2 linked regions of the Daphnia pulex genome follow. Each later gene encodes a partner of the first gene's protein in a complex. Links are inferred from orthologs where the notes say so. Each region holds a gene or a part of one and is shown on either strand. Other genes may lie near its edges. The genes, in order: structural maintenance of chromosomes protein 2-like and condensin complex subunit 3-like.

The links.
Region 2: structural maintenance of chromosomes protein 2-like (region 1) and condensin complex subunit 3-like share a complex: the UniProt entries of both Homo sapiens proteins name them as parts of the condensin complex. The link is inferred for Daphnia pulex from reciprocal best matches to the Homo sapiens genes SMC2 and NCAPG.

The regions. Positions count from the first base shown.
Region 1 is NC_060019.1:8,740,132-8,756,533, forward strand, and holds structural maintenance of chromosomes protein 2-like, read left to right. Parts: upstream 1-7,417; 5' UTR 7,418-7,531; coding exon 7,532-7,849; intron 7,850-7,910; coding exon 7,911-8,048; intron 8,049-8,119; coding exon 8,120-8,702; intron 8,703-8,767; coding exon 8,768-9,298; intron 9,299-9,363; coding exon 9,364-10,317; intron 10,318-10,402; coding exon 10,403-10,584; intron 10,585-10,657; coding exon 10,658-11,536; 3' UTR 11,537-12,198; exon of another isoform or gene 12,199-12,269; intron 12,270-12,751; 3' UTR 12,752-13,036; intron 13,037-13,101; 3' UTR 13,102-13,474; downstream 13,475-16,402. Other genes in the region: protein diaphanous-like, read left to right, coding at 264-443, 661-762, 875-1,071, 1,162-1,471, 1,604-1,714, 1,830-1,958, 2,034-2,140, 2,219-2,349 and 9 more. UniProt on the Homo sapiens protein: Central component of the condensin complex, a complex required for conversion of interphase chromatin into mitotic-like condense chromosomes.
Region 2 is NC_060020.1:456,367-472,787, forward strand, and holds condensin complex subunit 3-like, read left to right. Parts: upstream 1-1,314; 5' UTR 1,315-1,808; coding exon 1,809-2,342; intron 2,343-2,405; coding exon 2,406-2,566; intron 2,567-2,632; coding exon 2,633-3,083; intron 3,084-3,149; coding exon 3,150-3,440; intron 3,441-3,502; coding exon 3,503-3,745; intron 3,746-3,811; coding exon 3,812-4,057; intron 4,058-4,121; coding exon 4,122-4,246; intron 4,247-4,316; coding exon 4,317-4,569; intron 4,570-4,651; coding exon 4,652-5,214; intron 5,215-5,270; coding exon of another isoform or gene 5,271-5,275; coding exon 5,276-5,696; 3' UTR 5,697-5,810; downstream 5,811-16,421. Other genes in the region: uncharacterized protein LOC124193140, read left to right, coding at 1-81; mitochondrial 2-oxoglutarate/malate carrier protein-like, read left to right, coding at 6,077-6,132, 6,199-6,435, 6,503-6,593, 6,657-6,780, 6,867-6,956, 7,019-7,118, 7,190-7,421; solute carrier family 25 member 36-A-like, read right to left, coding at 7,880-7,916, 7,978-8,381, 8,468-8,583, 9,367-9,545, 9,725-10,018, 10,639-10,679; uncharacterized protein LOC124192580, read left to right, coding at 14,265-14,342, 14,433-14,488, 14,558-14,611, 14,686-14,869; protein PXR1-like, read left to right, coding at 15,430-15,471, 15,908-16,000, 16,063-16,207, 16,274-16,421. UniProt on the Homo sapiens protein: Regulatory subunit of the condensin complex, a complex required for conversion of interphase chromatin into mitotic-like condense chromosomes.

The sequences.
Region 1 (16,402 bases):
ATCTTTATACTCGCCCGTTGTTCTTTGATCGCTCGCGGAGAAAGGGAAAGGGCGAGACCGGCTTTTGATGTGGATTGCTTGATTTGATTTGATTTCCTTTTTAGCGGTTTGGCTGGGGGTTTTCTTCCTTTGAAAAATGCACTACTTGTCGTACACTCGTTTTTGGTGTTGTTTTGACGTAATAAAAAAGCCCGTGGCCTCATTCTGATTCTGTATTGCGTAATGACTGATTGACTATTTTTGGTTTTGTACTTTACTTTCAGCTGGACAAAATGGGCTTCGGCTGGAACAAGAAGTCGGGACGGGGACAGATGAGTGGCGCCCCTGGCACACTCTCACGTCCGCACTCTGAGGTCGACTTCTCCGAGATGGACGAAAACGCGCACATGGCCGTCGACAATATGAGCGAAGACGAAGTTAACACCGCCTTTGAAAAGATGTTGGTACGTCCTGAATTTTAAACAAATACAACAGCGTAAAAAACATAAAAGTAGTACCGTGTTGAACCAGAAATTCATAACCTCCTTTCTGGTGCCGCCCGGTTTTTATCTAAGTTATATGATTCATCTCTTTATGTTATCTCCGTCATCTCTAATTATGGATGTTTTTTTTGTTTTTTTTTGTTTTTATCTTTTCTTTGTGTTGCCTGGCTGTCTGAAGGATGACATGAACTTATCAGAAGAAAAGAAAGAACCGCTGCGATTGCAGCAAAACCATCGCAAAAAAGAAATGTTGGCCATGCACATGAAGGGCACAGTCCAGGTAACAATTTTGAGTTTTTTTCTTACCTAGTCATTCGACACATTCTTTTCCAATCACAACAACAATCGATATCCTCATTTTCAATTTCTTTCTTGCTCAAATGTCCGTGCAGAAACACCGGAATCGATTCGATACGCCGCAGGATTACATCGTCTATCTGGGCAATCCGGACCTGAGCGTCCACAAGATTTACACGTGCATGGAGTCGCTGAGGATCGCCCTGACCAACAACCCGCTCACCTGGGTCCACGACTTTGTCTGCGAGGGTTTGAATCAAGTTTTGACCATCCTCAACGAATGCTATAGAAGGTAGAGCGTAGGCGCTTTGCATTCAGCGACCGGCTGTTTATCTCTCGCCCCGTATGGAAATGTTTCTCAACTCGTGATATGATTATACAGGGACGCGAGATGGGACAGGGTCCAGCACGAGTGCATCCGCTGCCTGAAAGCCATTTCCAACAACAAAGTTGGCTTGAAGAAACTGTTTGAGCACCGCGAGGCGCTGACGCTTCTTGCACGTTCTTTCGTCCCGTCCCTGCCGGCCGTGATGGTCGAGGCCGTCAAACTGATGGCCGGTATCTGCTTGGTGCCGCCGGAGGGACACGAGCGTGCTTTAGAGGCCATTACCACCAGTGGCGAACTCAAGAGCATTTTTCGCTTTCAGCCCATTATCGAAGCCCTGTCCAACATGGAGAATGACACGCTTACGGTGAGCCAAACGGGCCGGAAACCCAACCTTGATTATCAATCCACCGTGACTCAATGCTATCACTCACGCACTCCTTCCACACTTTCACATCGTTCATATCTCAATTGATCAAAATCTAAATATTTTTCAAAGGTGGCCTGCGTCCAATTGATCAACACTATCGTCCTCACCCCCGATGATTTGGACTTCCGGCTGCATTTACGTAATGAATTTATGCGTGTCGGACTCGCCGACCTCCTTGACGTAAGGAAACCTTTCAACCACCGCACCGCCCAGTGGCAAAAAAAAATCATTATTTTCTTAATTTATTCATGAATAAATCATAATTATAATCTTTTCTTACATCCGGCTTTAATAGAAATTAGCCCAGAGGGACTGCGTTGACCTGCAGTTGCAACTCAAAGTGTTCGAAGAGCATCGAGATGAGGATTTCTATGAATTTGCACAGCGTTTTGACAACCTACGCCTGGATCTCGACGACACTGTGGTCAGAAATATTTTCAACGCTAGAAAAGGATCTGGAAATGCGAATCATAACTTTTGTTTTAAATTCATTCTTTAGGAATGTTTCGAAGTGCTGCGCAACTCGGTCGCCGAAACGCCAAGCGAGCCGTTCCTGCTGTCCATTCTACAACATTTACTTTTCATTCGAGACGACCCCAATGTCAAGTCAGTTTCACTTGTCACCCGCCGACAGAATTAGATCGCGTGTTTTATTTTTGCCGTTTCTCTTTTGCCATTCTGCAGGGTTTCGTACTACAAACTGATCGAAGAGTGTATTGCTCAAGTCGTTTTACATAAAAGCGGATGCGATCCGGATTTCTCCGCCACCAAGCGATTTCAAATTGACGTCGAACCGCTGATCGACATCCTTTCTGGTGCGGATTAACTTTTGACAAATGTGTGTTTCGAAAGTCGAGTGCTAATTCATCATTTCTAGAGCGCGCTGCCAAGGATGGAGAGCCCAGGGTGGATGAAGTCAACAAAAAGCTGGAGGAAGCCCTCACGGCGAAGCAGGAATACGAAGCCAAGTTGGCGGCTGCCAGTCAACGGATTGCGGAGTTGGAGAGTTATTTGGGAGGAGGCAAAGGACCCGTTCCTAGACCCTCTCCACCTCCTCTCGCCATGTACGGCGGTGCTGGACCTCCACCTCCTCCAATACCAGGTGGCCCGCCTCCTCCCCCAATGCCTGGAGCACCACCTCCACCCCCAATGCCCGGCTGCCCGCCTCCTCCCCCAATGCCCGGCTGCCCGCCTCCACCCCCATTGCCCGGCATAGGTGGGCCTCCACCACCCCCTCCTCCTCCCGGAATGGGAGGAGGACCAAGACCTCCACCTCCACCCGGTGGTATTCCAGGATTTGGTCCTCCACCTGGAATGCCCGCCACGCCACCCAGGCCGGATATTCTTCCGTTTGGAATGAAACCAAAGAGGAAATGGCAGTTGGACATGCCTCTAAAACGAACAAATTGGAAAACGGTATAGTTGATTGACCAGGAACTTTAGATCGTGACTCATATGCATGAACTCATACTGGAATGTTTTTGTACTCAGATTCAACCGCAAAAACTCTCCGAAAAGGCGTTTTGGGTCAATGTTGAAGAGGATCGGTTGGTATCGCCCGATCTCCTGGAAGGGCTAAGCGCTAAATTCTCTTCCAAACCTCCCGCCAAGAAAGCAAGAGAAGGAGACTCGGACAAACCAATGAGTAAAAAATTCAAAGAACTAAAAGGTATTTCGACAGACAGAGTTTCATGTTTATTGTCCCGACTATGATCAGATACTCACCAAAGGCTTGAATGTTTTTGTTTTAGTGCTCGACGGCAAGTCAGCTCAGAACTTGTCGATTCTTTTGGGCGGATCTCTCAAGTACTTGAGTTACGATGACATTAAACGGGCGATTCTTCACTGCGACGAATCGGTGCTATCGGACAGTGTTTTGCAGCAACTGATTCAGTACATGCCCACACCCGAACAGCTGAAAAAGCTTGAAGAGTACAAGGAGCAATACGATAGTCTAGCCGAAGCTGAACAGTTTTCCGTTACGGTAATCCATCGTCCTCCAAGGCGTCTGCCTTCAGTCCAACTTTTCCCAAGTGTTTTTTTTTTTAAGTCTATTTTTCTTTCTCCGACTGACAGTTGGCAAGTATCAAGAGGTTGGTGCCGCGCCTTAAATCCATCAGCTTCAGACAGCACTACAATGAAATGGTCCAGGACATTAAGCCAGTGAGTTTTTGATTGCAAATGACAAACAATTGGGTCTGTTTATCCTTCATGTCGTATTTCTTCGCTAGGATATTGTTGCGGCTACGTTGGCTTGCGAGGAGATCCGGGACAGCAAGAAATTTGCAAAACTTTTGGAACTTGTTCTGCTAATAGGTAATTACCTGAATACTGGAACAAAGAACGCTCAAGCAGTCGGTTTCGAAATTTCCTACCTTCCCAAGGTGAGATTTAAAAAAAAAATTACCAAGCATACAAATGAAAGCAGTTCATTTAAAACTGATTCGATTGTGTTTCTAAATTAGTTGACGAGCACAAAAGACGCCGAGAATAAAACAACGTTGCTTCACTACTTGGTGGACGTGATTGAAGAAAAGTTTGCCGACATCCTTAGCTTCAGTGAAGAGGTTCTCCATGTGGATCGGGCTTCCCGTGTCTCGATGGATACAATCCAGAAGACACTAAAGCAGATGGACAGTTCAATCAAGAACTTGGAGACTGATCTGAAGAACGCCAAGGCGGCCATATCCGACGAAGACAAGTTCTTGGAAGTCATGGGCAATTTCGCCCGGGAAGCTCGGGACCAGTGCGACGTCCTCGTCAGAATGGGCAAGAAAATGGAGTCTGTCTACCACGAATTGTCCGAGTACTTTGTCTTTGATCCGCAAAAGTACACGTTGGATGAATTCTTCACCGACGTCAAAACCTTCAAAGATTCCTTTAATGTAAGTTTCTGTTTGTTGTTTTTGATGATGGAACATCCGGATAAAGTATCGTGTTAACCTTGAAACTTTTTCTCCAGCAATGCTATAAAGATAATTGCAAACTGCGTGAAACGGAGGAAAAGATCCGACGAGCGCGCGAAGCCAAGGAGAAAGCCGAGCGGGAAAAACTCGAACGCCAAGCCAAAAAGAAAGCGCTAGTCGACATGAATATTGACGACGACCAGGAAGGTGTCATGGACTCGCTGCTGGAGGCTCTGAAAACGGGTTCCGCTTTCTCCAGAGATCAGAGACGGAAACGGGATCGACCCCCTCGTGCAGTCGGAGGTAATTAACTAATTATCGTTCATCACGTTTTGTCATCTCGTACAAACATCGTAGAACTTGTTTCATTATTTGGCACGTACCAAAGACACCAGTCCGTTAAGTCGGTTGTAGAATTGAGCGAAGAAGGTTGTCTAGAATGTGAGTTGAAGCGTATAACATAACATTTCGTTTCCATATCCCCAAAATTCGTACGTTGCTCTCCTTTGCAAATCCTGTTGGCAACGGCGCAGACCGATCCAACCGAGTTCACAACGGGTAAGAGATCCCCAGTTCAGTTACTGCAATCTAAAAAAGTTGGAAATTTGAAATGACATGACCGCTTCCAAGATGATGGCACGCCGTAACCGAATTGCTTTGGATTTTATTTCCCTCCCCCGCCACTTGCCGGTGTTTGGTATAACTTTTTTCGTGTGTGTGTGTGTGTGTGTGTGTGTGATTTTTTAAATTATTATTAAGTTTTGCTGCTGACTACCCGAAACAGTTTTTTTAAGGTATACCAACATTGATTTAAAAAGAGAAAAAAAAAATAACGCGTTCAAAAAGTTGCTGCCTTTAAACTTTGTTAACAGCTTCGGACACAGTGTTCATTTATTTATTCACCACAACTCATCGTTATTTTTTTTAATCCGTTTGATGTAATCGGCTTGCAAACCATTTTTATTTGCATGGGCTTTCGACAAGTGCCTTTTGTTTGTACCGTCTAATGATGATTTTTTTTTAAATTGTTTTTGTCTTCGAGCAGCGGAGCGCCGTGCACAAATGAATCGCAGTCGGTCCAAAGGAGCGCTACTAGAGTCCCCTTCATCTCGGGAAATGAAAGGGTATTGAACAAATTGTTAGTCATTTTCCGATTGCATTGTTTCTGATTTTGTATTGATGAAAACAGGACATTCGGTGACGAAAGACCTCCAGTTCCTGCCATAACGGATGACTTGACGGATGGGCTAGCCATGAAAGCGCCTCGCCCAAGAAAAGCGCGACCACCGCCCAAGTTTGACATGGCTGCCGAGTTACTAATGAGTGGAGGCCGAGAGAGGGAGGTGAAGCTCAACAACGGAGGTGGATACTTAGCTGCCGCTGATGACGGATCAGAGGCAGACAGACTGATGCAACGATTGAAAGCCCTTTAACGAAACCTCACCCCCTTTCCCAGATGTACTTGCTCCATTCCACTATATTTTGTTCCGAAATCTGAAGCCCATAGACGTGCCTTGTTTGTATTGTACAGTATGTTTTCCATGAACATATCTTTGCGCTTCAGAATATGTGCCATTACGTTATATTCACCGTGGGTTGCTATCATTCCATTTCCATGAGATCTTCCAAAGGGGTAGAATTCTGGTCTGTGGGCGTTGTGCTTTTCTTTTGGGACTCGCCAGTCATCTGTTGTCCAAGCAGTTGATTGGGAAAGCCCAAAGTTTGTCAAATTGGCCTTTTGGATTTTTACATTTGTCACCCAACGCTTGATGGATCGTGCTGACATTTGTACACTGATGAAATGTGCCTGCCTCGTTACATTGTTAATTACGCCTTGGTTTGAGGCATTCGGTTCACATCGATTATCCTTTTGTTTGCCTTCTGTACTAAATAATATGACTATGACTTAACATGACTGTCTGTCTGTGAGAGAGAAGTTTGCAATTCTGTTTGCTATCGAATTTATGTTTAAAAAAGAAATTTGCATGATTCCATGTAAACACAATCGTGCTGATCGTAAGACCCAAGGATATACTGTATGCCCTTTTTTTCTGCTCAGCTCCTTGTTGTTAATTCTCACCCTTTCTCCTTCACGAGCCGAAGCAAATAGTTTTATTTATTATTTTTGAACACTTTGGGCTATATTTATTCTTAGATAACAACTGAAATTTTCTTGTAAATAGATATGTACAGTTGTGTCTGGTCGTAACAAAAAAAAATTGCAATACAAGTGGGACAATGTTCCGTGCTAAAAAAAAAGGAAAAAATTACAAGTGAGCAATTTTGACTAAATTTTTTAAACATTTAAAGGACATAATCTGACGCTGTTTTAGAATCTAACGATTTCTAGGTTCTTGTCGTTGGGTTCTTCGTTTCTAGGCATCCTCTGGTTGCCGTTGGTTGCTCTGTGGTTCTGGTACTCTGGCCAGAGCCACAGTAGCATCACGATCGTAGCATGTAGCATCGTAGCATACTATCTCTCTCTGCTCTGAGTGTGGGGCCAGGTGGGGCCGCTGGCTTCTCTGGCTGTCAGTGGACCAGTGGACATGAGTCGGCAGTCGCTGACTCGCTGTTAGGGCTGTGGCCCGGACGTTTTTTAGCGGTTTTTTTTTTTAAATGGGTTTTTTAGATGGGTTTTTCTTCTTCCGCGGGTTGGGCCAACAGAGTAAATGGGTTCGGCCCGGGCCGACCCATGGGTCAAAAAATTTTTACCGGCCGGGTAAAACGGCCCGGATAAAAAATCGGGTCAAACACACTTTTTTTTTACAAACTTAAAAAAATTCCCTAAATTTCTTAATTATCTTCATCTTCCAACAGTGACACGTCAATTCTGTCTTCTGAACACCCCTGAACGCCCTTTTCTACCACTTATCCTACTTTTCATGCTACGAAATTATCGTGCGTTTACATACGCATCAAGTGTGGTGGGAAAAGGCTTCTTTTTTTGAAAATCCAATCCAGAGTATTTGAGGGTTGAAAGCATAGCCTACGTAAGTTATGCGTTGAGCCGTTGAAAGGAAAAGGAGAAAACAGCGGGAAAAGACGTTGAGTGGCTGGCAAGCCGTGATCAAGTATTTTTGTGTTTTAAAAAATGTACATCAAATCTATGGTAGTTGATGGTTTCAAATCCTATGGCCAAAGAACTGAAATCAATGGATTTGATCCAATGTTTAATGCCATTACAGGGCTAAATGGTAGTGGTAAATCTAACATTCTGGATGCTATCTGTTTCCTTCTTGGCATCACAAATTTGAGCCATGTAAGAGCAACAAATTTGCAAGAATTAGTATACAAAAGTGGACAAGCAGGTGTCACGAAAGCCACTGTGACAGTCACCTTTGATAACAAAGACAAAAAACAAAGTCCAATTGGCTATGAGCATTATGATGAAGTTACAGTGACTAGACAGGTATTGTTATTTATGATTTCATTATGACTAGGATATATAGTCTATGTTTCCATATTTTCAGGTTGTCATCGGTGGAAAAAACAAGTATCTCATAAATGGATCAAATGTTCAAAACAACCGTGTCCAAGATTTTTTCCGCTCTGTGCAGTTAAATGTCAACAATCCTCATTTCCTTATCATGCAAGGAAGAATTACTAAAGTATTGTGCTTAACTCATTCATCAATTTGTGGTTGCATTTCAGTGTATAAGTATGTGTTTTCACATTGCAGGTTTTGAATATGAAACCCCCTGAAATATTGGCCATGATTGAGGAAGCTGCAGGGACCAGAATGTACGAAGCGAAAAAGCAACAGGCTTTGAAAACAATTGAGAAAAAGGAAGAAAAAATCAAAGAAATCAATGACATCCTTTCAGAAGAAGTTACGCCAACATTGAACAAACTGAGAGAAGAACGAACTCAGTACCTGCAGTTTCAGAAGTCCGAACGTGAATTAGAACACTTGAACCGCCAATATGTAGCTTATAGATTCCTCAGCCTTGAAAAAGCTAATGCCCAAGTAAAGGAGGAATACAATGAGATTTTAAAAGAAAAGACAAATCATTGTGCCACTGAAGAAAAACTCAAAAATGAAATTGAGGCACTGGAAAAAGAAATTCATACTCTTCAACATCAGAGAGACCAAGTTGGTGGCAAAGAACTTACACAGCTTGAAGAAAAATTGCGTGTTCAAGAAAAAGCCGAATCGAAAGCCCAATCAGCTGTTAAGGTGCTCAAGGAAAATATTAAAGCTGAAGAAAAGAGGAAAAAAGAGCTGAAGAAAAGTCTTGACGACGACACCGCTGCTTTAGAAGGTAAAATTTTAACTTTTATTTTATATATTTTCAGTATTATAGCGTATTTATATTCATCGGAACAGGCAAGGAGGTAGAAGAGAGTAAACTAGGCGAGACATTTGAAAAATTAAGGCAAACTGAACAACAGGATAGTGAAGCTTTGACAGCTGCCCAAAAGCGCTTCCAAGAAATCAGTTCTGGTTTGTTGGCCAGTGACAATGGTGCTGCGGCCACTTTACCTGAAGAACTCATGGCCACGCAAAAGAATGTTGCTCAAGCCGAGTCGCAGTTGAAGCATTCGGAAATGACAACCCAACATCTAAAAAAAGAGCTGAAAGTTAAAATTAATGAGATGAAAAAGTCGGAGGTCGATTATAAAAAAGATGCACAAAACTCTAAGCACCTCGAGAATGAAGTTAAGAGACTGGAAGCCGAACTTGGGCAGGTTCACTATGATGAAGAGAAAGTAACTAATTTAGAGCAGTTGCAAAGAAGCTTGAAACCGGAAATGCATTCGCTGCGAGAGAAAATTGAATCATTCGAAGCTCGATTTCCTCAAATGGCCTTTCGGTACACCCCTCCTGAAAGGCAATTCGACGCATCTACTGTGAAAGGTTGCATTTCTATAGTGTGACTTTGTTTATATTTCTTTTCTTAACTTTTTTTTCTTCGTGAACAGGTGTGGTGTGCAGTTTATTTGAAGTTCCAGATATGTCCTACGCTACTGCTCTAGATATTACTGCTGGAGGTCGGCTATACAACATAGTAGTCGACAGCGAAAACACGGCAAAAAAGCTTCTTGAGAGAGGCAAGCTCCAGTCACGTGTCACATTTATCCCTCTCAACAAAATTGAAGGCAGAACCATCGATGAACGGACTACGGCAACTGCCAAAAGAATCGTTGGTAAAGAAAACTGCCATACCGCAATATCTTTGATTGAGTTTGAGAACCACTTGACGCCGGCAATGAAGTACATTTTTGGCAGCTCCTTTGTTTGTAAGGGTCTAGACGAAGCTCGACAAGTTACGTTTCACGATCAGATAATGCGTAAAACAGTAACTTTGGAGGGGGATGTCGTTGATCCTGGTGGTACTTTAACTGGTGGCAGTCGAGCTTCTGGCCAATCTGCTATTCTCAGAGTTAACGAAATCAAGCAGTACCGCAACGAATTTGAGGCAAAAGATCGTCAACTAAAGGAAGCGGAACAAGAACTTCGAGTTATGGAGCAGGCTTCAGCACAGTATCGCACTCTGAAACAGCGTTACGATGTGAAAAAGCACGAATTTGAATTGCTCCAGCAAAGGCTCCAGCAAACGCTTCACCACCGCCAAACTCAAGAAGTCGAAAATATGAAGTCGGAATTGGAATCAGCAGAGCAAAAGGCCCTCGAATGCACCGACATCATTAAAGAAGGTAAATCGCGCATCAAGGAGTTGGAGAATCAGTTAAAGAATGCCGGTAAGATTCGGGAAACTCAGTTAAAAGCAGCCCAAGCTGAATTGGATCGTTGCAAGAAGGCGGCAGCTGCTTCACAGTCTAAATGGAAGGAACATGCAAATGATGCTGACTCGCTTAAACTAGAGTTGGAGGAACTTCGAAAATCTATTGAAACTACTGACATTCAATTAAAAGGTAACGACATACTGTTTCTGTTATTGAATTGTATGTTTCAAAATTATCTTTGCACTTTTTATTAAATTTTTTGTTCTTCATCTAGAGACTGAGATAACACTAGCCAATTTACATGAAGAAATGAAAGTGTTGAATGAAGCTCTGGCAGTTGAACAAGCTAATGTACAGGAAGTCAGAAAACAAATTGACGAATTTAAGGCACGAATTTCAGCTCAAAATCAAGAAATTTCCAAACGAATTGCTGGTAAAGAACAGCGCGAAGCTCAGGTTGGCTTTTTTTTTAAATCCCAATTTACAATACTTCATAATTCTAATTAATTTCTTTATTTTGAATGCAAAGGTGAGTGAAGGTGAACTGCACTTGAAGAAATTGGAACATCGGCTTTCCAAAGCAAAAGATGACGCAAAAGATTCCGAAAAGCGTGTTGACGCCATGCTCGAAAAACATGCTTGGATAAACGAAGATCGACACCATTTTGGAGTAGCCGGGTCTAATTATGATTTTAACGTCATTAATGGAGCAGAATTGGGACAGCGCGTTCATAAATTAGAGGAATCCATGAAAAAGCTTGGTCGCCATGTCAACGTTCGTTCCATGACTATGTTGACACAAGCAGAGGCGCAGTATAATGACTTGATGCGGAAGAAGAGGATTGTAGAAGAGGATAAGGCGAAAATTGAAAACGCAATCCTGAAGCTGGACGAAAAGAAGAAAGAAACTCTTCAAGTGGCTTGGGAACAAGTGACAAAAGATTTTGGTTCTATTTTCTCTACCCTGTTACCCGGAACCAAAGCAAAACTGCAGCCACCGGACGGTCAAACAGTGCTAGACGGTCTCGAAGTCAAAGTTGCTTTTGGCGGAGTATGGAAAGAGAGTTTATCGGAATTGAGTGGCGGTCAGAGATCCTTAGTGGCTTTGTCGTTGATTTTGGCTATGCTATTATTCAAACCAGCGCCTATCTATATTCTTGATGAAGTAGACGCAGCCTTGGATTTGTCTCACACTCAGAACATTGGGGTGATGTTAAAGCAACATTTTAAGCAGTCGCAATTCATCGTTGTATCTCTGAAAGACGGTATGTTTAACAATGCTAATGTTCTTTTTCGCACAAAATTTGTTGAAGGTATGTCTACGGTCAGTCGATTGGCTCAGCAACAATCGAACTCTCATGCCCGCCCAGCGGAGGAAGAGGAAACTCGGCCTAAAAAACGAAAGTAGACGATTATGTATCAGAAAGCATTTGTAAATCGTACTTCATCTTTTCTGAAGCGTGAACCTATTAAGTGTAATGCGTTCGGTAAATAATAATTCAGTCAGTTACTAAAAATGAATCAATCATTCGTAGTTTTCCTTTATTTTGCGTAAATTAAGTAATTTTACTTGTAGGCCTATTAGTAATTCGCATCTCCATGTTCACTTTCCCAAGAAAAGCAAAGCGATTGAAGTTTTTTCTTATGTTGACAAACATCAGCTTAACAAAAACGACACGACACAGTAATACTTGTGTATTACACATACTTGTGTAATACTGACGATAAGTATTCCACCAAGAAAGCTCACTTGTTAATTTTTCGATAATTGCTTTTTTTTTAAATGTACTAAATGTATTTCACGGAGATGACGAATATTTGATTATTTGGTTTATTTTTTTTTTTTTTTCCGTCCATGACTCTAGTCGTCCGTGGTTGCTAAGGGCTGTCACTAGGTGGCTAAATGTTTCAGTGTGTTTAGGGATTGAACTATTCAACTCTAGTGTGGGTTTCCAGAGGGATGTAGGGGGGTGGGTCACCAAACTGTCAAAGTGCTGAGACGACTTACTAAGCAGTATTTCTTTTGCTGTCGAGACGCTGTCCGAGAAGGTTGAATATTGTCCTTGCTGGGTACTTTCTTACATGACATTTTTCACCCCAGACATGGTAATTCCATCTTTTATTCTTTAATTTTATCAAATGTAATTTTTTGTGTAGTCATGTTAGTAATTATGTTGCCTAACTTTTTGATTCAAGACTTTGTTTCTGAATTAAAATTTTGTGACTTTGTTTCAAGTACTAATTGAGTTTTACTATTCTATTAACTGTTCAGTAGTAAAGTCTGAGCTTCATTGGGTTTTGTTTTTCAAATTGTTTCAATTTCCAGTTGAGTTATGCCAAGAGCTTTTGCAGACGTTCACTTAACTTGTTAGAAAACTTGAGTGGGTTAGCATTTTGCCTAAATGTGAGTCTACGTGAAAAGTATGTGCTACACATGTGTTTTTGTGAGAAATTGGGTTAGACATTGAATTCTTGATTTAGATGGCGTTTTACAACAAATTGTGTTTCTATATAAGAGCTTTCGTGAAAAGATTTGCTCAATAGAACTGTATTTTTTTATAAAACAGAAATTTGCCCTTTCTTGTATTTGAAAATGTAATTGGTGTTTTCCTTTGATTTGTAGGATTTCTTGGTTAAAGTGATGTTGGAGCTGCTAATGGTGTTGATGCAGTGTTCATGGTGTGAGCAGTGGTTTTGCAGTCATTTTTCAGTTGAGATATCTTGAAATGGAGCTTGTGCAGACATTCAGTCCAACATCATACTTCAATGTGTTATTTGCCCATGTTGATGTTTTTTTGTTGAGCTGTTGTGCAAAATAGTCGGTGTTGCCTGGTGGCTGTTGGGCATGTTTTATCGGCTGCCTTTTGTCGATGTGTCGTCGTCTCTTGCCACCTGTACACTCCTTAAGGTAATGCTTTATGGGTAATTTCATTTAATTATTGGCTTGAAACAAATTTTTTCGTTCTCGTTCAGTTTAATCGTTCGCTGCCGTTCCATCGACTTGATCCATTGGTGAAACTGAGATGAGGTTGCAGAAATTGAAATGAGGTTGCAGAAATTGAAAACTGATACATTATTAGATTTAGACAAATTAAAAATGCATGCATGTTCTCCCTTTTCCCTAAGTAAACTGTTTCCGCCGTTGGTTATTCGTCCGGTCGAACGGGAAATAGCAATGAAATGATCTGATGTAATTTTGGAGAAAGATTAGTTTGACCACGAAGTAATTCTGAAATTCTCCTTTATGATTCGCGATTAACTCTACCTCATTTATATAACCATCTTAACTCGTTGCTCTACATATGACCATAATACTGCTTACAATAAAATATGAAATCAAATTCAATATTTGTTCTTTTTGACATGCATACAATAATTAAACGTTATTGCAATATTTATAAATAAATCAATAAAATATCCTGTCCAAATTTTTATTATTTTTTTCCGCTTTATAAAAACAACCACCATATTATTTATTTACTAAGTCTTTTTCGATAAAAATTGGCGATGTCCGATTATCCCTTGTTTTTTTATTTAGAAAAGAACAATTGTTTTTAATATATATTTTATTATTTTATTTTTTACAAACATAACCACATGTATATTTTATGGCCCCCAGGGAGGGGGGGGCCTGTGACTTTCCCAACCGCGATAATAACATGTGCCGTTATTATTTTGTTGGTGCAGAAAGCCGGAATTTAATCTAGCAGTTGTCGACTGAGTCAAACCTGACATAGATCAGGTTGCCTCAATCGTATACTGCACAATAAAAACGCCAAAGACGACAATGGAACCATTTCAAGACTGCAACACAGGAAATCACTGGTAGAGCAAAAAAACACGAATGAGAAAAGATTTCAAACACAGGATAGCATTGGCAGAGAGAAATACACAAATGCAAACAGAAAAAATATTTAAAGTCAGCGACCCAGATATCACTGGCAACTTCAGGCTAGTTCAGGATACCGCCAGCACAGCTACTTCTGGATAACACTGGAACCACACGCTGCATACAACAGTTCAATTAGTCTCCATCACATCTTTCACCACCTGGCTGCAACAAGGTAACCAACAGCGGACCTGTTCAAGAAAATTTAAAAATTACCATCGGGGAAAGACAGTGTGTGCACAATTACACAGGACTCTTCATGGCAAAAGAATACCAGGAGTAAGACAAAGCTACGCAGTCCAACAGATCTCTCCGATATCTCAAATTTTACAAAGGAAGTCATAGTTGGCATCAAATTGCAAATTGATCTCTAGTCATATTAACAAAGTACTTTAGTAGGAAATTAGATAAAAATAATTACTTTTGCTTTTGCATGGCACGAGACATACGACTGGGTGCAGGCAGCAAGACGCACGAGGCACGACATTTCGGCAAAATGGACAGGCTTCCGAGTTAGATTGCTTAACAAAGTGGTATTAAATCACCTGTCAATTTACACATCGAAATTTAACATTAAGTAACCCTAAGAAATTAACAAAAAATACCTTTACATTTTCATCATGGGAAACGTCACGACAGCATCCCACTTCTCATTCGTCAAGGAACAAAATGGCCGAAGACGCTCAAGCCACCTAGCGACAGCCAATTGGATTGCTTCCTTGCAGACAGCAAGCAGCAGCTAAATTTGAATTCCTCACGCCTTTCACAAGCTGGCACGAAATGAATCAATTGGGGATGGATTACTCCAGCAGCTTTCCCTATGACACAACATACAAATGATTTAGTTAGCTATTTCAGACTATACTTTTTCAACATCAAATGTAATTATTTACAGAAAGTATGGGTATGATAGCAGCAGAGAATTGGATCTGGGGATGTCTTCAATATCTTGAAGATTTACTATGATTTAACACTGGAAGTTAACCTGAAATATTATGTAAACATTAAATGACTGTAGAAACTATTTAGCTTTGGAAGACATAGCTTACGTTATTGGATTGGACCATTTGATCTCTATATTGTCACAAGCACCTAGCTCAAACATCAGCTGAAATTTCTGAAAACATGAAGTCAAGAATGCAATAAGAACCATTAGCTAAATGATGTGGTAAATGTTATTAATTAACAACGGTTAAACTTACCTCAAAATCCTAATCTAAATATTTGTTTTGATTTTTTGAAGTAACTTTAACTTATGATGTGTATCATGCAATTTAGGAGCAGACAAAGTTTCCCAAGAGGATTCTATTCTGTAGTAGGGCATTTAGCCCAGACAAAGCTGTCACATTCCTATGCTGCTCTCCAATTATCAATGGCCATCGACACTTACAGAAAAAAAGAAGGATTTATCACAGGTAAGGCACAGTGCAGAATGACAGGAATAAAGCTAAAAGGGTGATACCTAGAGGTAGCAGAAGACGATATTTCGTCAACAATCTGGAATCACTGACAGACGAGAGACACAACAGCGAACGTCATGCTGCCTTCCGCTCATTTTTATCACCTTGGGTATTTCGTCTGTTGTGATGCTGCGGTGGTGGCTTTTTGGTGAAGACTAGATACAAATTTGGAGGGGAGAATATTACGTGAGTATCAAAGCCTTTTCTTGTTAGTTCTTTCAGTTAAGTGTCAACGAGCCAGAGCGGACATTGTTTTCATGTTATCGTAAACGTTTCTTTTTTCTGGCACTAGACGGCATAGCCTTTGATCATTTTCCACTCAGTTTAATTACGTTTACTTTGCACATCTCTGAAGAATTTTCTCAATGCTACTTAAAAAAATTTTGGGTGATAACTTTCAGTTTCTGTTTCAGCAACAAAGCTCACTTGTTAGATTTTTAATAATTTGTTTTTTTTTTCTACTTCCGGTTTTCTCATTTCTGTCAGTAGTTCAGTAAATATTTATCTGACGTACAAAAGAACCAAATATTCGTTATCCTCGTTAAATTTGTGGTAAAGTTCATGTGTTATTTTGTACGAAAGCGTACTTCCGGTTTTAAGAATTTTCCTGAACTTATAGTTCAGGAAAATTCTCGATTTTGGCCAAAATTTAGATTTCGTTTAAATCACATCTAATCGACCCCAAATTTCACGTAGATCACGAATATTTAGTTTATTTTGACGATAGCTCAATGTTTAAGGAGCTATTGCTTACTTCCGGTATACTTCCGGAAAAGTTGCATAATACTAGCAAGTGAGCTTTGTTCTCTGTAGAATTCTAAAGACTCCATGCTAATTTTAAGCAAAGAGAAATTGTCTTTTTGATTACTTTTATGACTTGTGATGACTATCTAAGGCAAGTCCTTTAGATATTGAGTTTGGAATG
Region 2 (16,421 bases), on another chromosome or scaffold:
CTTATGGACCAAGAAGAGACAAATGTTTCAACCAGATATAATGTGCACAAATTATTGTCTTTAGCTGAATGTGGTGTTTGAAATAACAATGACAATTTTGTTTGCATACAAGGAGAACCTCGTGATACGATTTCTTTTATTTTTCATATCCACTACATCATATCTTTGCCATTTGATGTACATATTTGTTTCCCACTATAACGCAGCCAACTTAAATTTCTAGACGGGTTGTTTAAGGAGAGTGGTGTAACGTTCAATCTTTGATGCCAAACTCATGTCGATGTAGCGATCTCCAAGGACAACTACAAGTCCACCAACAATGGAGGGATCCACCTTGGTTGAAATCTTGAGACTGTCCTTTCTGGCTTCTGCAAGAATCCAGAAAGAGCGGCAGTAACCTCTTTCAATGTAGCAGCATCCAAGGCCTTGATATAAGAATAGATTTTTTTAAACATGTAATTGTTTAATTTTTTTTAGATTTATATTTTACCTTGGCTGAGGTGACCTCACATACAACTTAACCTCTGAATGCAGCCATCATGTTAAAGAAATGGCCAGTGACAACATCCAATTTGTTAAGTCTTCCATTCTCAGCAAGGAGTTCTGTAATCATAGCCATATGAATAACAATTAGAATAAAGTGAAAACCAATAGAAAATAAAAACTTACCAAGGAAGTTGCCTGTAACAGCACTCATTTTCAATTTCTTGGCAACTGAAATAAGAGCATCTTTCTTAAGTGATCTCTTCAAAGTGGGGTTGGCAATGAATTCTGCCAAACGAGAATCTTTGGCGATAGTTGCATGAAAGTCCTTCAACTCGCTTTCAACTTTGTCCAAAGATTTCTGTTTGGAAGCAGCAGAGTAGAGTGCTGAGGCATAGCGACCATACAACCCAAAAACTTGGACTGGAGCCTATAACAATTACACAATTAGGTTAAAATGTACCTGTACCACACTCACATGATTTACCTTCACCAACTGCTGGGATGATGAACTGGTGCTGAAGTTACGAGCCTAATAGTTGGAAAGTAAAAACATTCATTGAAAATAGTACAACATTTTATAAATTACGGCAAATTAATTTAGGATTGTGCGAAAACAACCGGCTATTCAAAATCGAATACGGCTTGAAACTTAGAGGTTTGACAGTTGGATATTTCTACCTTTTTATTATGGAAAACCTTTTATTATTGTTTTTCACTTCTTGTAGAAAAGTAAGCTGTGATTGGCCAATGAGTTTTTCATAGACCCTTCCTGATTGGCTGGCTTCACGTAGTAGCTGACACACTCACTAGAGGCGCTCATCCATTTTTCCCAATCGGCTTACGTTTACCCTGAAACCGGGATAGGGAAGCCAACACAGCCATGAACTGACCAGGTATCTATAGCTCTGATATTAAAAAAAAACCTGTCACCTTGTTTTATTTCGTCTTACTCGTCAACGTCGCATCGTCTCTCCGCTTCAAAAAAGTTTAAGCGGCCGTTGAGAAACGTCGTACTCTCGTTATTTTCAGAAAATTTTGTGATTTCAGATAATTAGAAGACTGATTTTTGAATTGCTCTATAATTTTCCCAATGCTTTCTACAAAATCATTGGAATTGAAAGAAAATTTGTCGAAGCGGAAATCGGAGGTTGACAAGTGCACGATACCTCCCAGCAAGGAACCTCGCATTGAAACAGAAACAGATAAGGGCAAAGAAGAGATCGCTAATAGTTTCAATACTTACCAATATTGGAAAGATCCGCTTCCTGACATCAGTTTTGAACTTGGTACAAATATTGTAAGCCCAAGGCAGGCTGAGTAAAATGGTAGGCAACAAACACATTGAAGAGATATTTACCAAAAGCCAACATTCCATTGCTGATCACCCCAAACTAGTAAAGAACCTTAGAAAAGTCTATGACCAAATTGAAGATGTAGATTCTTTTAATCAACATTTTATTAAATGCTTCAAGTGTCTCTTGATTCATGGAGAAAGGGAGACTGCTGTTAACTTTTGTTTAGATTTTGCAGCCAAATTTGCAACATCGTTTGAACTGGAAAAAGATCCAGAAGATGAAGATGGTGAATGCCACCCTTTCTATGAAAAACTTTTTGATTTTCTTTTGTCCCATCACAATGTCAAGAGCCAGGCTGTTCGATTTAGAGTGTGCCAGTTCATTAATAGAATGCTAGAAGAGTTGAATGAGTCTGCTTGCATCAGCGCAGAACTTTTTGAAAAAATTTATGATGCCATGCTTGAAAGAATTCAAGACAGAATTGCCTCAGTTCGGGTCCAGGCTGTCATTGCCTTACAGCGCCTGCAAGATCCTACCAACAAAGAATGTCCAGTTATTAAGGTAACTTGGCGTTAAAAATGTTTTTACTTTTCTGTATTTAAAAAATGTTTCACCCTTGTACAGGCATTAGTTTTCCATTTGGAAAGAGATCCTCATCCCGAAGTACGTCGAGCTGTACTTAAGGCACTTGGATGCAATTATTTTACGCTCGAATTCGTTTTGGTCAGGCTGCGTGACGTCAAAGACCTTGTTCGCAGGCAGGCCTATATCTTCATTAGTGAGAGGTATGTGGAAGAATAAACAATAATTGCATGCTGTCTATTTTTATCTTCATTTATTTTCATTTTTAGAGTTCATGTCCGAACATTATCAATTGCCAATCGTGTGACAATTTTGAACCTCGGACTCAACGACAAATCAGCTGCTGTGACGACCATGGTGCAGGACAAACTTATCCCTGCCTGGATCAACGCCATGGAAGGCTCCATCTTCAATTTCCTGCGTGGTCTTGATGTGGAAGGCTGCAGCGATACTGCTGTTCAAGTCTTGCAAGTTTGGTTGAAAACGCTCAACTACAAGGAGATAACATCTCAGTTGCCTATTGGTGAAGAAAATCTGGTTAGTATCGAAGCGTTAAAGCCAGAAGTGGCTCTTTATTGGTGCACGGCCGTTTCTTTCCTGCGAAACGAGGGAGTTCATGCAGCAGATGCTCTTGAAACCATTATGCCAGAAATGACAGCGTTTGGGAAATATTTGAAAATTTTCGTTTTGGCAAGGCTTACCGAAACCGACGACATGGAGGTAAAAACATTGTATTTCCTAAAATTGTATTCTTTCGTTAAAACATGTCATTATGTATGCCATTAGGTATTGAGTATGGAATTTATCGTTGCCAACTTATTGGAGATGGCACAACACTTTGACCTTGCGGATGAAGCGGGTCGCTTGAACTTGCGACGCGATCTCTGCGATCTTTTACAACACGAAAAGACTAGCCCAGCATTGACTCGTACCATGGTCAAGTGTATTAGTCTGATTGAGCCCAATTTGGATGTTCGCATCGCCAAATTGCTTGAGGTCATTTCAGAGCTGCGAGAGCCACTAACTCAGGCGGAAGTACTCATTCCAGAAGATCAGCAGCGAAGAAACAAATTAGAGGTGAACTGGCTTATTGGATCCAAAAGAAATTCATTTTTTGATTCATTATTATTTCTGAATAGATTGCTCAATGCCGAGTCCAGGTGAACGAATTAAAGGAAGAATTGCAGGAGGCCATTGACAAACAAAACTTTCTTGGTGCCCAAGAGATTCAACAAAAGATGGTCGTTTTGGAGACGAAACTAAGCGAGTTGTGCAGTCGGCCCACCACTCATGACGTTGAAGTGTTCCGCGAAGAGAGAGATGATCCCTTAACACTACTAAAGTGTCTCAGCACCGTTTGCGAGCTGCTAAAAAATTCGCCGGTATATTTCATTCTTATTTTTAAAAATCAGTAACATTGCTGGTTAGTAATGATTCTTTTTTATTAGATGCTTAAATTGACGAAAGAATTGGACCAACTTTTAATGTCTCTGATCTTGCCTTGCGTCGAGAGAATCGATCCAGCTGTCCGAAATGCCGCTTTCGAAGCTTTGGGTTGCCTGTGTACTTGCGACTTGGAACTGGCCCAACAACGTTTGCTCTTGTTTGTACAAGCAGTTCAGATGGATCACCAAATCCTTCAGATCACAACAGCCAAAGTTCTCTTTGATCTCGTTCAATTATTTGGTCTTTCCGTGAGTCATGCATTACTCTTATTTTATTCATCAAGAAACTTAAATCATACATGATTCATTTCAGACTTTTGAGGACCAAGAGAGTGGTACATCTCTAGCTACAGTGCTGACTGATCTGTTGGATAGTGAAGATGCAGATGTTCAAACAATTGCTGTCGAGGGTTTCGCTAAACTATTGATTGCTTCCCGGTATGTATTTTTGAAATGTCAGTAAAATTTTTCCTTTTCGTTGTATTAATAACTTAAATGTGACATGTAGAATTGAATCGTCCATGATTCTTTCGCGCTTGGTCATTTTCCTGTTCCACCCGCTGACGGATGAAAACGTTCGTCTGCGTCAAGTCCTCCACGTCTTTTTTCCTTTCTTTGCTTCCATGGATATTGCAAACCAACAGCAATTGGAGGCGGCTTTCGTACCGACTATCAAGACCATTCAAAAGGCCCCGTGTACTTCTCCTTTGGCGGAGATAGACATTTCCATGATCGTCAAATTCTTTGTCGACTTGACACAGGTAACTTAATGTTACAAGCCTTAACATGAATTACAAATATCTTAATTACAAGTAACCTAATTTTGTTATATTTGCTATTTAGGAAAGTTTATTAGCCGCCAAGCCTGAGGTCGATCACACCATCCACGATCAACTCGCTATGAAACTTTGTACTGAATCGATGCGATCTCCTGATACGAACGAAAGTAAAGTCTACCTCAAGGCCTTGTTGCAGTTGAACATGTCGTTCTCCAATCCGTCAAACACTAAAGACTTGCACACTCTTATCCGGAAAATGCTTCGAAATTTCAGAGAGAAGGGTTCCATCAGAATGATTGAGCAATTTGAATCTATCGTAGAAAAGCATTTGACGGCTAATGCGGACTCGGCCAAGTCTGCTACTGAAAACGATTCCGATATGGAAGTTGAACCTGTTATTGCTCCCCCATCTCCTCCCATCAATAAGCCAAGAACAAGAAAATTAGGAAGTAAACATGCAGCGACTCTTTTAATGGATACTAGTAGCGACGTCGATGTCTCCCAAAGTTCCGATGTTTTCTTCAGCCCAGAAAAGACAAGCACTCAAAAGGAAAAACCTCGTGAAAAATCACCCGAGGTTGTTATTGAACAAATGGATGAGGTTGTTATTGAACAAATGGATTTAAGGTGATTACATATTTAATTTCGCTTTCTACGTGTTATTTTCATCAAATTTTCGTTCGTTTAGTTCGACCACAAACAGCGAGAAAACTGTACCTTCAAGAACTCGACGACAGGCTCCACGCAGCGTTTCCGTTGTCGCTGAGGAACGAACAACACCTCCTCCTTCCTTACCTCGTCGTAGAACACGATCGACTAGATCAGTCGTTGTTTCCAGTGTCGACGAGGACAGTGTTCCCGTTGACGATGGGGACCGAACACCTCCTTCCCCACCTCGGCGTAGAATACGATCAACGAGATCAGTTGTGGTTTCCAGTGTCGACGAGGACGGTGGGGAACAAACAACTCCTTCCCCACCTCTGCGCAGAACACGAACGACGAGACCAGCCGTGATTTCTAGTTCCGACGAGGATGAAGATGTTATACCTCCGACCCCACCTCCAAATAAAAATACTAAAAAGTCGGCAAGATCAACCAGGAAGCGTTGATAAAACAAATTTTTTTTTCTTCATTTTTCTATCATCTTTTTTTTTCTCCTTTACAATTTTACTTACTTTCCTGTAAGAGATATTAATACAAATAAATTTCGGTCACTTGAGCAATTCCAGAATGTTTCACTAGAAAAATAACTCATTTGTGACATTGTGTGACATTGTGAAATTCAAATATCATACTGTGATATGCCGGTAGATGTCTTGATCAACGATCGCTTCTGGATTTTTGATCACAGATCACTCGTCTGTCTCTGTAGGCTACGGTCTCCGGTGTCTTGTTTTGAGAGCAGACTGGAGTACGTGTTTAAATAGTTTATTCGTCATTCCTGAGGGTTTGTTTAAGTTTTAAACAAGTATATCCCATTAGATTTAAAATGGGTGAAGCTCAAATGCCAAAACCAGTTAGGTTTGCTATTGGAGGTTTGTCAGGGTAAGTTGTTACAGTCTTACTTTATTTATATATAAGTTTTATTAACAAGGATTTTGTCAATTTTAGAATGGCTGCCACATTGTTTGTCCAACCTATGGATCTTATTAAGAACAGAATGCAGTTGAGCGGTGAAGGTGGCAAAGCCAAAGAACACAGGAACACTTTGCACGCAATTAGATCCATCATGATGAAAGAGGGTATCTCTGGCATGTATTCTGGTTTATCTGCAGGCCTTCTGAGACAGGCAACCTATACAACAACTAGGCTGGGAATTTACACATGGCTGTTTGACACCATGAGTGGGTTAGTAGGACTGTGACCTTGACAAATGTTATAGTTCAATACATCTATATTGTTTTTTTATTTCTAGTCCTGATGGAAAACCACCAGGTTTTGCAACAAAAGCTGTGCTTGGAATGGCTGCTGGAGTTGTAGGAGCATTTGTGGGAACCCCAGCTGAGGTAATTTTAGTGAAAAAGGGCACATGGTAACAAAAAGTTACCGGTATTCATTACTTATTATAGGTTGCCCTTATTCGTATGACAGCAGATGGAAGACTGCCAGAGGCAGACAGAAGGAATTACAAGCACGTCGGTGACGCGTTGGTTCGGATGGTCAGGGAGGAAGGATTGGTCACTCTCTGGAGAGGTTTTTGCAATTTCCTTTGGAAATTTCCTTGGAAATTTCTCTTCCTTTTTGAATTTCCTTTTAAATCTCCTTTGAATTGATCGTAGGAGCGATCCCAACGATGGCTCGGGCAATGGTGGTAAATGCCGCCCAACTTGCTTCCTATTCTCAAGCTAAACAATCTCTCATGTCAACTGGTCAGTCTAGTCTTTAACGCCCACATTTATAGCGCAAAAACTAAACGGCTCTTTTTCTCTAGGTTATTTTAGTGAAAACGTGATTCTTCACTTCTGGGCTTCCATGATCAGTGGTCTAGTTACGACAGCCGCTTCTATGCCTGTCGACATTGCAAAAACTAGGTAACTACGTCGTATTATCATCGATTAGTATCGAAAGATAAGAGAAAATAACATTTTTGGCATTGATTCAGGCTGCAAAATATGAGGTTCATTGACGGCAAGCCAGAATACAAGGGCGCAGTCGATGTACTGGGTCGCGTCGTACGCAACGAAGGAATCCTAGCTTTGTGGAAGGGATTCACGCCGTACTACGCACGCATCGGACCGCACACAGTTCTCACCTTTATTTTCCTCGAACAGATGAATACGTTTTACAAGCGAAATATTCTCGGTCTCAAGGACGCCAAAGGAGGTGGCATTTAAATTGTCTTGTCAATAGAGAGAAGCTTTGGTAGAAAATCATCAAGCCTGATATTTAGTCTGCAATCCATGTTGTCGACACGTTAAATTGGTGACTGTGAATGTAATTTAGGTGGATTTTGTTATCAAATAAAAAGGTATAAAACACATATCGATTTTGTAAGACAACTTTATTAAGAATTACTCCAAGTGTGTGCTGGAAGCACCCTTTTATACACTTTAACAAATGAATTCGATTGCGCAAAATAACTAGTGAATAACGAGTGACTAGTCATACTGTACAAGCTCTATACACGTTTTTTTTTCTTTTTTCTTAAGTTAAAAAAAAAGGCACAATCTAAATAGTCAGAATAACTATCACAATTCGATATTTTGCGCGAAAGACAAAGCTGATTAAGAAAAAGGGGTTTGGGTGGGAGATTACATGAATGAAGACTTTTGAAAACAGCGACGGCAGTTCATTATTCCGAACCAGTGTACCGCTTTTCGTTTACCAAACTAAAATCGAAAACCGGTTAGTTATTAAGAATATTATGATTATTCTAATTATTATTTTTACCTGTTGAGCACGTAAACTGTGGCCTCGTATGTGGTCATCATAATGGCCGTGTTGGGAATTTGCCGGATCAACTGCGTCGACAGTCCACGATAGAGCCCTCGATGTCCCTCTTCGCGGAAGACTGTGTGCAACGTTTGAAAAAATCCCCTGTAACGTGAATTCTCTTCACGCAGCCTGGTCCTAACCACTTCATGCGGATAGGACACACAACAAGCCACCGTCTTGCTGATGGCTCCTGCTAGCATGTAGTCCATGGCTTGGTAGTTGCCCAGTGGACTGTCCGTCTGCGTTTCCCGCATCTGTTGCAGGGTCGATTTCAGGTACTCGTAAAGTACAAACTTAATTATGGTCTCTGAGATACCGAAATATGAGGCTGTTATTCCTCTGTAAAAGCCAACAACACCCTAAAGAAAAAAGAATTCCAAAATTAGATTGGTGGCGCTGGCTGAGCCTGTTACGTAACGTCACGACGAATTGGTTTCCAAATTACCTGACTACGATAGATGTTGGAAATGCACTGCCAAGCTGTGACGTTTTGATTGCGATTGAGCTGCAGACGTGTCTTGACGAACCAAATTGGATTGGTTAAAGTGCACGACACAAATCCTGTGGAAACAGGAAGAAGTTAATAAAAAACGATTAATTTATGGATCTGTTCAATTTGCGAATGACGTACTACGTAGGCCACAACGAGTTCCTTAACCGTCCCAAGGACGAAACGGGAAAATGCGCCATATCCGCGAATGTTAGAAACGGGCTCTATAGGTAGACTACGTAATAATGCCCTCCTTCCCGCCCGGAGTGGATTTTGTTAACTTATTCAAAGTCTGGGCGAACCTTGGGCAGGAGCACGGCTTGTGCACGTGTTCCGTTTTTAAAAATACACCAGACCATTCTTCCAAGGAGGGGGGAGAGAGAGAAACGGCAACTGGGCATTCGTTACGTGAATCACGTAGGTAAGTGGAGAGAGAAAAAAAGACGGCTGAGCCAACCAACCGGACAAGTCTGGTTTTTTCACCCTTTGATGCTGACCCGCATACGAAATTAATTCAATTATTTTCACATAGAAAACCCAGGGTGAATCAGCTAATACATTCTTCCTAATGACTTTGTCTTCTCTTCCATGCATTCTTTTTAAAAGGAATATATAATTTGTGCAACGTCATTTTAAAGCAAGTTTTAACCCCCCTCCCGACTGCCAGCAAGAAGTGAATTTTGGGCTAAATGCCAAGTTGGTTATTGCGTTAAAAAGTGACAACTAAAAGGGAAGAGAACAACTAATACAAGGACGTCCTTCTATGTCTAACTAAAGCGATATGGGCGAAAAACCGGCCTCGACTGGACAGAAAAGAGAAATTTTGCGCAACTAGACGTGAGGGACATATTTACCTGCAGAGCCAGCCGAGAGCATATGGACCAAGTGAGAATCTGGAGTCATGATCTGGTTGAATTTTCGTTTGGCCGTTGAATAGGTGCAAAAATATAGGGCTCTAGTGGGGGCCACTCCAATCAGGTTTGGTCCCAAACCTTTGAATAGCGCCCGGCATCCTTCTTGGTCGATCAGGTGCCTACGTGAGAAGGCAAAGAATTTGATCAATTAACCGTTGTTCTTATCGAAATCCACACCTTATCTCCTTTTTATAGTTCTAGTTTTTATTATCGTTTAAATGTATATATGTAGAGCAAACAAACAAGTCAATTAAAGGATTAAATATTCCGTTTGTTTCATAGAATTCCCTTTTCTTACCGAAAACAAGAAAGGGCTCCTTTGGGTTGGGCGGAAGACGCCGGCCAAGGGAGGACGGCTTCAGGAAACACAGCCAACCTCGAATTGACGGACGAGCATTGTTGGTGATGATAATAAACGTTCCAGTTCATTTCTGGAGTGAAATACATGTGATTGGCGCTGCATCCTGCGTTGGACGAAGCTGTTCGCAGGGAGCGAACTGCACTGTAGTGGATTTCAGAGGAAGACGATTGCAGGCGAGTCTTGATAACTTCAAGTGGGCACGTCACTATGGCTCCCACAGTACCACCAACCCTACGTCGTCACAGAAAAGAAACATTAAAAAATTGAGTCCTAGCAACGAGAATGGGTCAACGAGTGCGTTGGGCTAGCCAAAAATGTCGCCTCTTAAAATACTAACTTCAAACAAATGCCAACTTGTCTTTGGAATGGTTTAGTAGCCTGCAACTTTCAAAGGGAAAAGTTGCTGCAAGGATTTGAAAACTGAAGTACGTATATTTTAGAGTTCGATGGCAAACACACTAGGATTCAAATTACAACATCTGGCTCAGAAGAAAGCCATTATTTTGGAATGCACAAACATCCCTCACTGCTTAAATTCTAGTTGTGGAGTGGACCAACTTAGGAGGGAAACTGAAATGGAAGATAACGAGAAGGGTACACTGGGCAAGATAACTGATGCAGGTAAGATAGGTTTTATAGGTTAAATGAAAACCATCTCCCTCACCCAAGTTAAAACCCAAGGCAACATAATGTAGTATGTAGTTTGAAAATTTTAATCCCTACCTCCCTTCTGACTAAGACTAAAGGAAGGGATGTCGGTGTGTTCGGCGTAATGGCCAAAATGGTTTCTGCCTAGTGGGGGGAAGAAGACGAAAAATGAACCGAAACGAAGAAAACGAAAAAAATCTTACCCGCCAGCGAAGAGATGGATGAATGTATCTGCATTCGACATAACACGTAATGCAATTGCACATCAATTAAGATGAAAGTAATATTTTTGTATAGTTAAATGTTTACCAAGACCAACCGGATTGGCCGAATTGTAAACATAAGTGTAGTTTGCTCTAAAGATGACGGAAGAATAAAACAAAATCCAACACGAGTTCGTTTTCAGCTGCTGGCCTGCTGCTGATCTGACTGGGATAGGTAAGGGAAATGGGGGTAGGGGACGGCGAACCAATGGCTCGTTCGCTATTGGGTATCTAAGCTACGACAGAGCCACCTAGCGCCGCGTGATGGAAAACCCAACGACGCAATTCCCACAAACACGCTTGTTTGTTTATCGGCTTTTCAGATCGATCAAACAAGAGCCCTCGGGCAGAAAAAAATCTCTTCCAAGTCTGCAGCATTGAATTACACACTCATAAAATCTGATACTGTGTCCTGTTTCATAAGATCTGATTATCCAACCTATTTCAACGTTTTTGACTTTGAATCGCCTATTTCCAGATTTGTCCAAACTTCTGGAGAATTTCCATCTTTCGGATGGCTTCCCTGGAATCACTTATGGCTTAATGGAATTTCAGGAAATATTTCAGGCTCTACCTACCCTAAAAAAATACATAAATTCTATTGATTGAATGATTTCAAAGTAAAGGGTGGAGAAAGGTAAAAGAAATCTATTGCGCATCAGTCAATATAAACATTGATTGCTTTCACGTGTCCTATCTCGACCACATTTATAACCACACAGCGTAGTTGGATTGCATATAGAATTCTTAATCACATGTCGGGGTCTCGTGGACTCGTGGTTAAAGTTGATAGAAAAAAAAATTTCCAGATAATAAAAAGGACTAAAATAACTTTTTCACAATGAGGCTAAAGCTCCTCTTCCCGGGTGATGACATTTGAATTGTTCATGAGGCTCTTTCTTTTTTTCAATTTTCCGTTAAAAAAAAAGAACTAATATTTCTGAAAAATGATTTGAATGTTTGACAGTAGACCCAATCAAAGATCCGGCCAGTCACAGGATGTGAAACCCAGCCCACAGGATGTACTAGTCTCAACCCAGGATGTGAAATATTTCTATGAACAATAACACATGTGTCGTGTTATTGTTCAAATGGAGTGCGTGCGAGAGGGATAATAATAATAATAATAGCGTGTCGAATTGATATTTGCAATTATTTCGGTATTATTTTCTAGGAAATTTTCGCCACGTATGCAAACTTTCCCGTTGGAAATGTTGGCTTTCAAGCCGGTCAAGGCGACACCGGTTGTCTCAATTTTTGTACTTTTTTTATTATTTTTATTATTATTTTGACAGTTCAACTCGAATGTCACCACCAGTCACATTACGGATTAACAGATGGCGCGTAAGACGGTGCGCGTGATTCAAAGAAATCATCAGTTGAAGATCTTAGATCATTCACGGCAGATCTCATTCATGATACTGTAAGTAATACAGGTAACTGTATATCTATCTGATTGGTGATGAATCTTATTTTTAGTTTAGTTTGGTGTAGCGACTGATTGAATGGTTCGACGCCGTTGTAGTGATTCCCGAGAAACAAGTACATTGACGTTCGAAGAAGCCTTATAGTACATGGAATAATTTCTTTTTTCAACTCGTCAACAGCTTCTTTCATTACTTAATTGAAAACGAAACCTATGCGAGTTTGTCGAGATAGCAACAATCCCCCGCTGCTGTCAGGACGATCCATCCAATCCATCAAAACCCCAATCCATCAAGGACTGATGACTTTTATCGGCACACACATACTATCAATGGCAACGGATGCGCTCTGCGATGATACTATTTTGAAATAGATATTCGATTATATACGTAGTAACATTTGGTTGTTGAGTAACAGCCCCCGAATTGAAATTGCTTACGCATCAGCTTGATAACCGAAACCGCCATAGTATACTACTACGCATCTATTTTGACCTATGGAAAAGGGCCTGATCTTGACCCATAATTGGATTGGGCGGGAAATGACGTTTCTACTATCCATTTGAATAGATATTCTCATCTATAGTTCCTTTCTTAACAAACTTACACGTGTGCGGGCGGCCATTGTGACATTCAATAAGAATTATAACTTTGTTTTGCTGAGCCTCTACAGCACAATTCAGTCACTGCGCATTACATATAACCGATGGCAGCTTAATCCCTCCCTCTATACTCTGTTTTATATAGGCCCCTCCGGGTGTAATCAGCTGGATATTCGATTAAGGTTAACTTTTACAACTACAGTGGGCATTTATTGATGATGGTGTCGGCGGTAAAGACAAACACCCTCGCAATCCATTACTCTGGATTCGTTTTCAATCGGATGAATGGAGCTGCGAATCAACAACACAAATCCTAAAAGGATTATTTCAGGAAAAATGATGCGGAGTTGATGATGACGTCAGTCCAGTTTTTAGATTTGGTTCAACATAAAATTCTATTTCTATTTATTCTCAGTAACTATGCACAAAGCGGAAATCCAGTCTGGATTTTTGATTGCCTCTTTTAAAAAAATGGTCCGATCTTTGGTAGCCATTCATCAACTAGTCGAACCATGCATTATATAAAAACGGGTTTTTATTATTCTAGTAATTTGTATTACTTATCTAAAACGGAGACACGATAAAAGAATATATAGGACCTATTATTTTTACTGTTTGCCCCTTATATTCTTGAATTTCCAGTTTTGGGTTGAAGAACATTTGAAAATAGGCTTACGGCTACTCGTGATGTGATTGCGTCAGCCATATCTTTCCCCTATTTAATCCTACCAACTGCTGTTGGCTTGACGTTTCTTTTTTCCACGGCGCAGTTAAGGATTTAACTTATATAAAAGACGACGCATATAGGGAAAATGTCTTCTTTTTACTAGAATGTTAATACAAACATAAATCATTTCGCTTATGACCATTATTAAAAGAAGGGGGATTAGTAGGGGGGAAAAAGAACTTTTCCAGCTAATGACCACCGGAAGCGGCAGCCAAAGGTTTTTTTTTGTAAGGCTGTCGGTGTGCTGAGGTCAAATGAGACGAAGTATTTCCAAAAAATCTTCTTCGGGATAAGAAGATCAAGCAATCACAATAGAGAATGTGTTTAGACTTATAAGTTAAGGAATATATCTCAAAATTTAGGCTATCCAGCAAGTGTTGTCCAGTATGTCATCATATTCTATACTTTTCGACTTTCCAAATACCGCCGAGTAGCGCTTATTTACGTACTCTTTGACCGTGAAGGAAAAAAGGTATATAATGTGAAAAGAGAGAGGCTTTGGTATAGCATTTTGATACCTGTAGTATTTATCTGGGTGCGTGGGTGCCTGGGAATTGGGAAATAACGTATAGCATGGCCAGACGAGAGTGGTGGTGCCACCGGCCACGAGCATATAAAAGGGAACGTTTCCAGTCGTAGCGATTCCATTCAGTCGAACTCTTTGGTTCAGTCGAGTACCAGCACGCATCGTCTTCGTCTATTCAGAATCTACCCAGCAGCAATTGAGCAAGATATATTAGAGGCTACACGATAGCTCCCTTTGTATTTCGTTTGAACAAGAACTTTGGACGAACGGATCAAAAATCAAACAACATGAGTGCTGCATTTCGATTGGCTCTCTTTAGTTTGCTGCTTATCATCCACTCTGCTCGACCCATGAGTGTCGCCAAGGTTGTAACTAACGGTTTCTATATTACAATCAATCGTAGACTATATTAGCCATAAATTGGGAAATAATTGTTTTTCTTACTCTCTAAATAGAGGCAGAGTGGCAACAACGGCCAAGCAACGCTATGCGGACTCCACACTCCCTGCGGGTAAGTCAGAACATTTAATATTCCCTATTGAGAAATTCGTGATTTAATTTCGAATTGGTTGGCCTTCAGTTGGGGAGTATACAATTCAAATACACGCCAGATGGACTATTTCGTCCGAAACATGTAAGGTTCTATTTTTATTTGTTAACTTTGATTGGCCAATTTTTCATGTGGAAACATTTTTTAAAATTAAATAGCTGCACGTGCAACCGACCGCAAGAGCGTTGCTTGCGTGCGGGCGACGATGTATCCATCTCAGCTTACGTCTACCGTTGCGTCCGGAGTCGAACTTCTCCACTGGCCGGAGGCAGCGCTTCTGCCGTCGGTGCCGGAAGAAGCTCAATTGATACGGCGGCCAATTTGATCGACATGAAATTGTGAACATTCAACAAATACAAAAAAAAAAAAAAGTGAAAAGAGTATTAAAAAAGAAACGAAAAAATGTATGCGCAAAAAAAACCCACCTACTTAAAAAGCGAACAAATGGCTTTTTTTAAAAACCTTCATACTCACTTTGATTTTGTTCCTCTGCGCGTCAGTGTTTATTATATCTTATTCTGATCCTGACAAACCTTCTATTTATTTGTTTTGTTATGCCATTATTAAAATTTCCCTATATATTGACAGAAAATTTCGTTTTCTGGATATTACTTTGACCAAACAAACGTAGAATGACTGAAAATATACTCGATCATTCGTGGCAAAAAAATAGCTGTTGATTATTTGAAATTTCGTGAATTTCTTCCAAAAACAAAACCAATTATAGCGATCTGGCATTGTTGTCAAAGATGGCGTTAATCACGTGACCATGCAAGCTTAGCATCAAAAGCGTCCTCTCTGGTGTGTCTTGTTTACTACCCCGTGTTCGCCGGTATTGGCTTGGATTTCTCACTTTCTCACTTTGAAATATTCGTCTGAAATCGGTTGGATTAATAATCAACATGTCGAGTGAAGTGGCCGAAGTCGTGAGTGAAAACAACCAGGTATGAAAAATGAGGGAATTGAAATTTCGTGTGGCAAATGAATCGGAAATAGGCCTAAGATTGAGATGCTGCCCTGGGTCTCTGGGGTGGAGAAAGCCGTTGACGACCATACATTATGCCTTGGGCCTTTTGGGGGATTTTGTTTCTCTATCGTTTATGACATCTGTAATCCGATTATCAACGTTTACTTCGAGTTTCGGTTGAAAAATGCTTTTCTTGTTTGGATTTTCAAATGTTTTCAAAGAAATTCCAAGTGCACGCTTTGTTTTCTTTTCAAAGTGGGGAGTTTGTTTATTAGATATGTGTGGCGTCGGTTGCCAGCATCCATTGACGTTCGAACAGACTTTTGGCGGGAAATTATTTTTGCGACCAGTTGCGACGCCACGCGTAGTTGAACATGGGAATTTATTCTTGTGTTATTTGATCTTTTCTTAAGCATGATGCTGCTGAAGCCAAAGGAAAAAAAGGTTTGGGGAAGAAATTAACTGCCCTGGAACGAACAACTCAAGAAGGAGAAGCTCTGCTCAAGGTACCCACTTGCACATGTTGATTGTTGTCCGTTTCTAATTTTTGATGAAATGTTATGTGTAGGAGATGGGATACAAAGAAGATGGTGAAGACCAAGGCAGGAGGAGAACGAGATCTGGTGCGAGGCCAGCTGCTGTTGCGTCCCCACCCCCAGCCAAAAAGGAGAAAAAGACTCCCAAGAAGACTCCTAAAGCTACACCCGGTACCGGTGAGTGGCAGAATTGATTTGCCGAGTTGTACAAAAGTACTGATCCTTTTCATTTTCCTCTTTTAGGTCGCAGAGGCAGACCCCCAAAGAAGACAGTCAACGACAGCTCAACAGAAAATGAAGATTCTGAGGTGAAGGAAGACGAGAAGGCAGAGGAGAAGGAAGATGAGAAGGAAGAGGTCAGCAGCACAGAGGAAGCCAAAAGTGACACAAA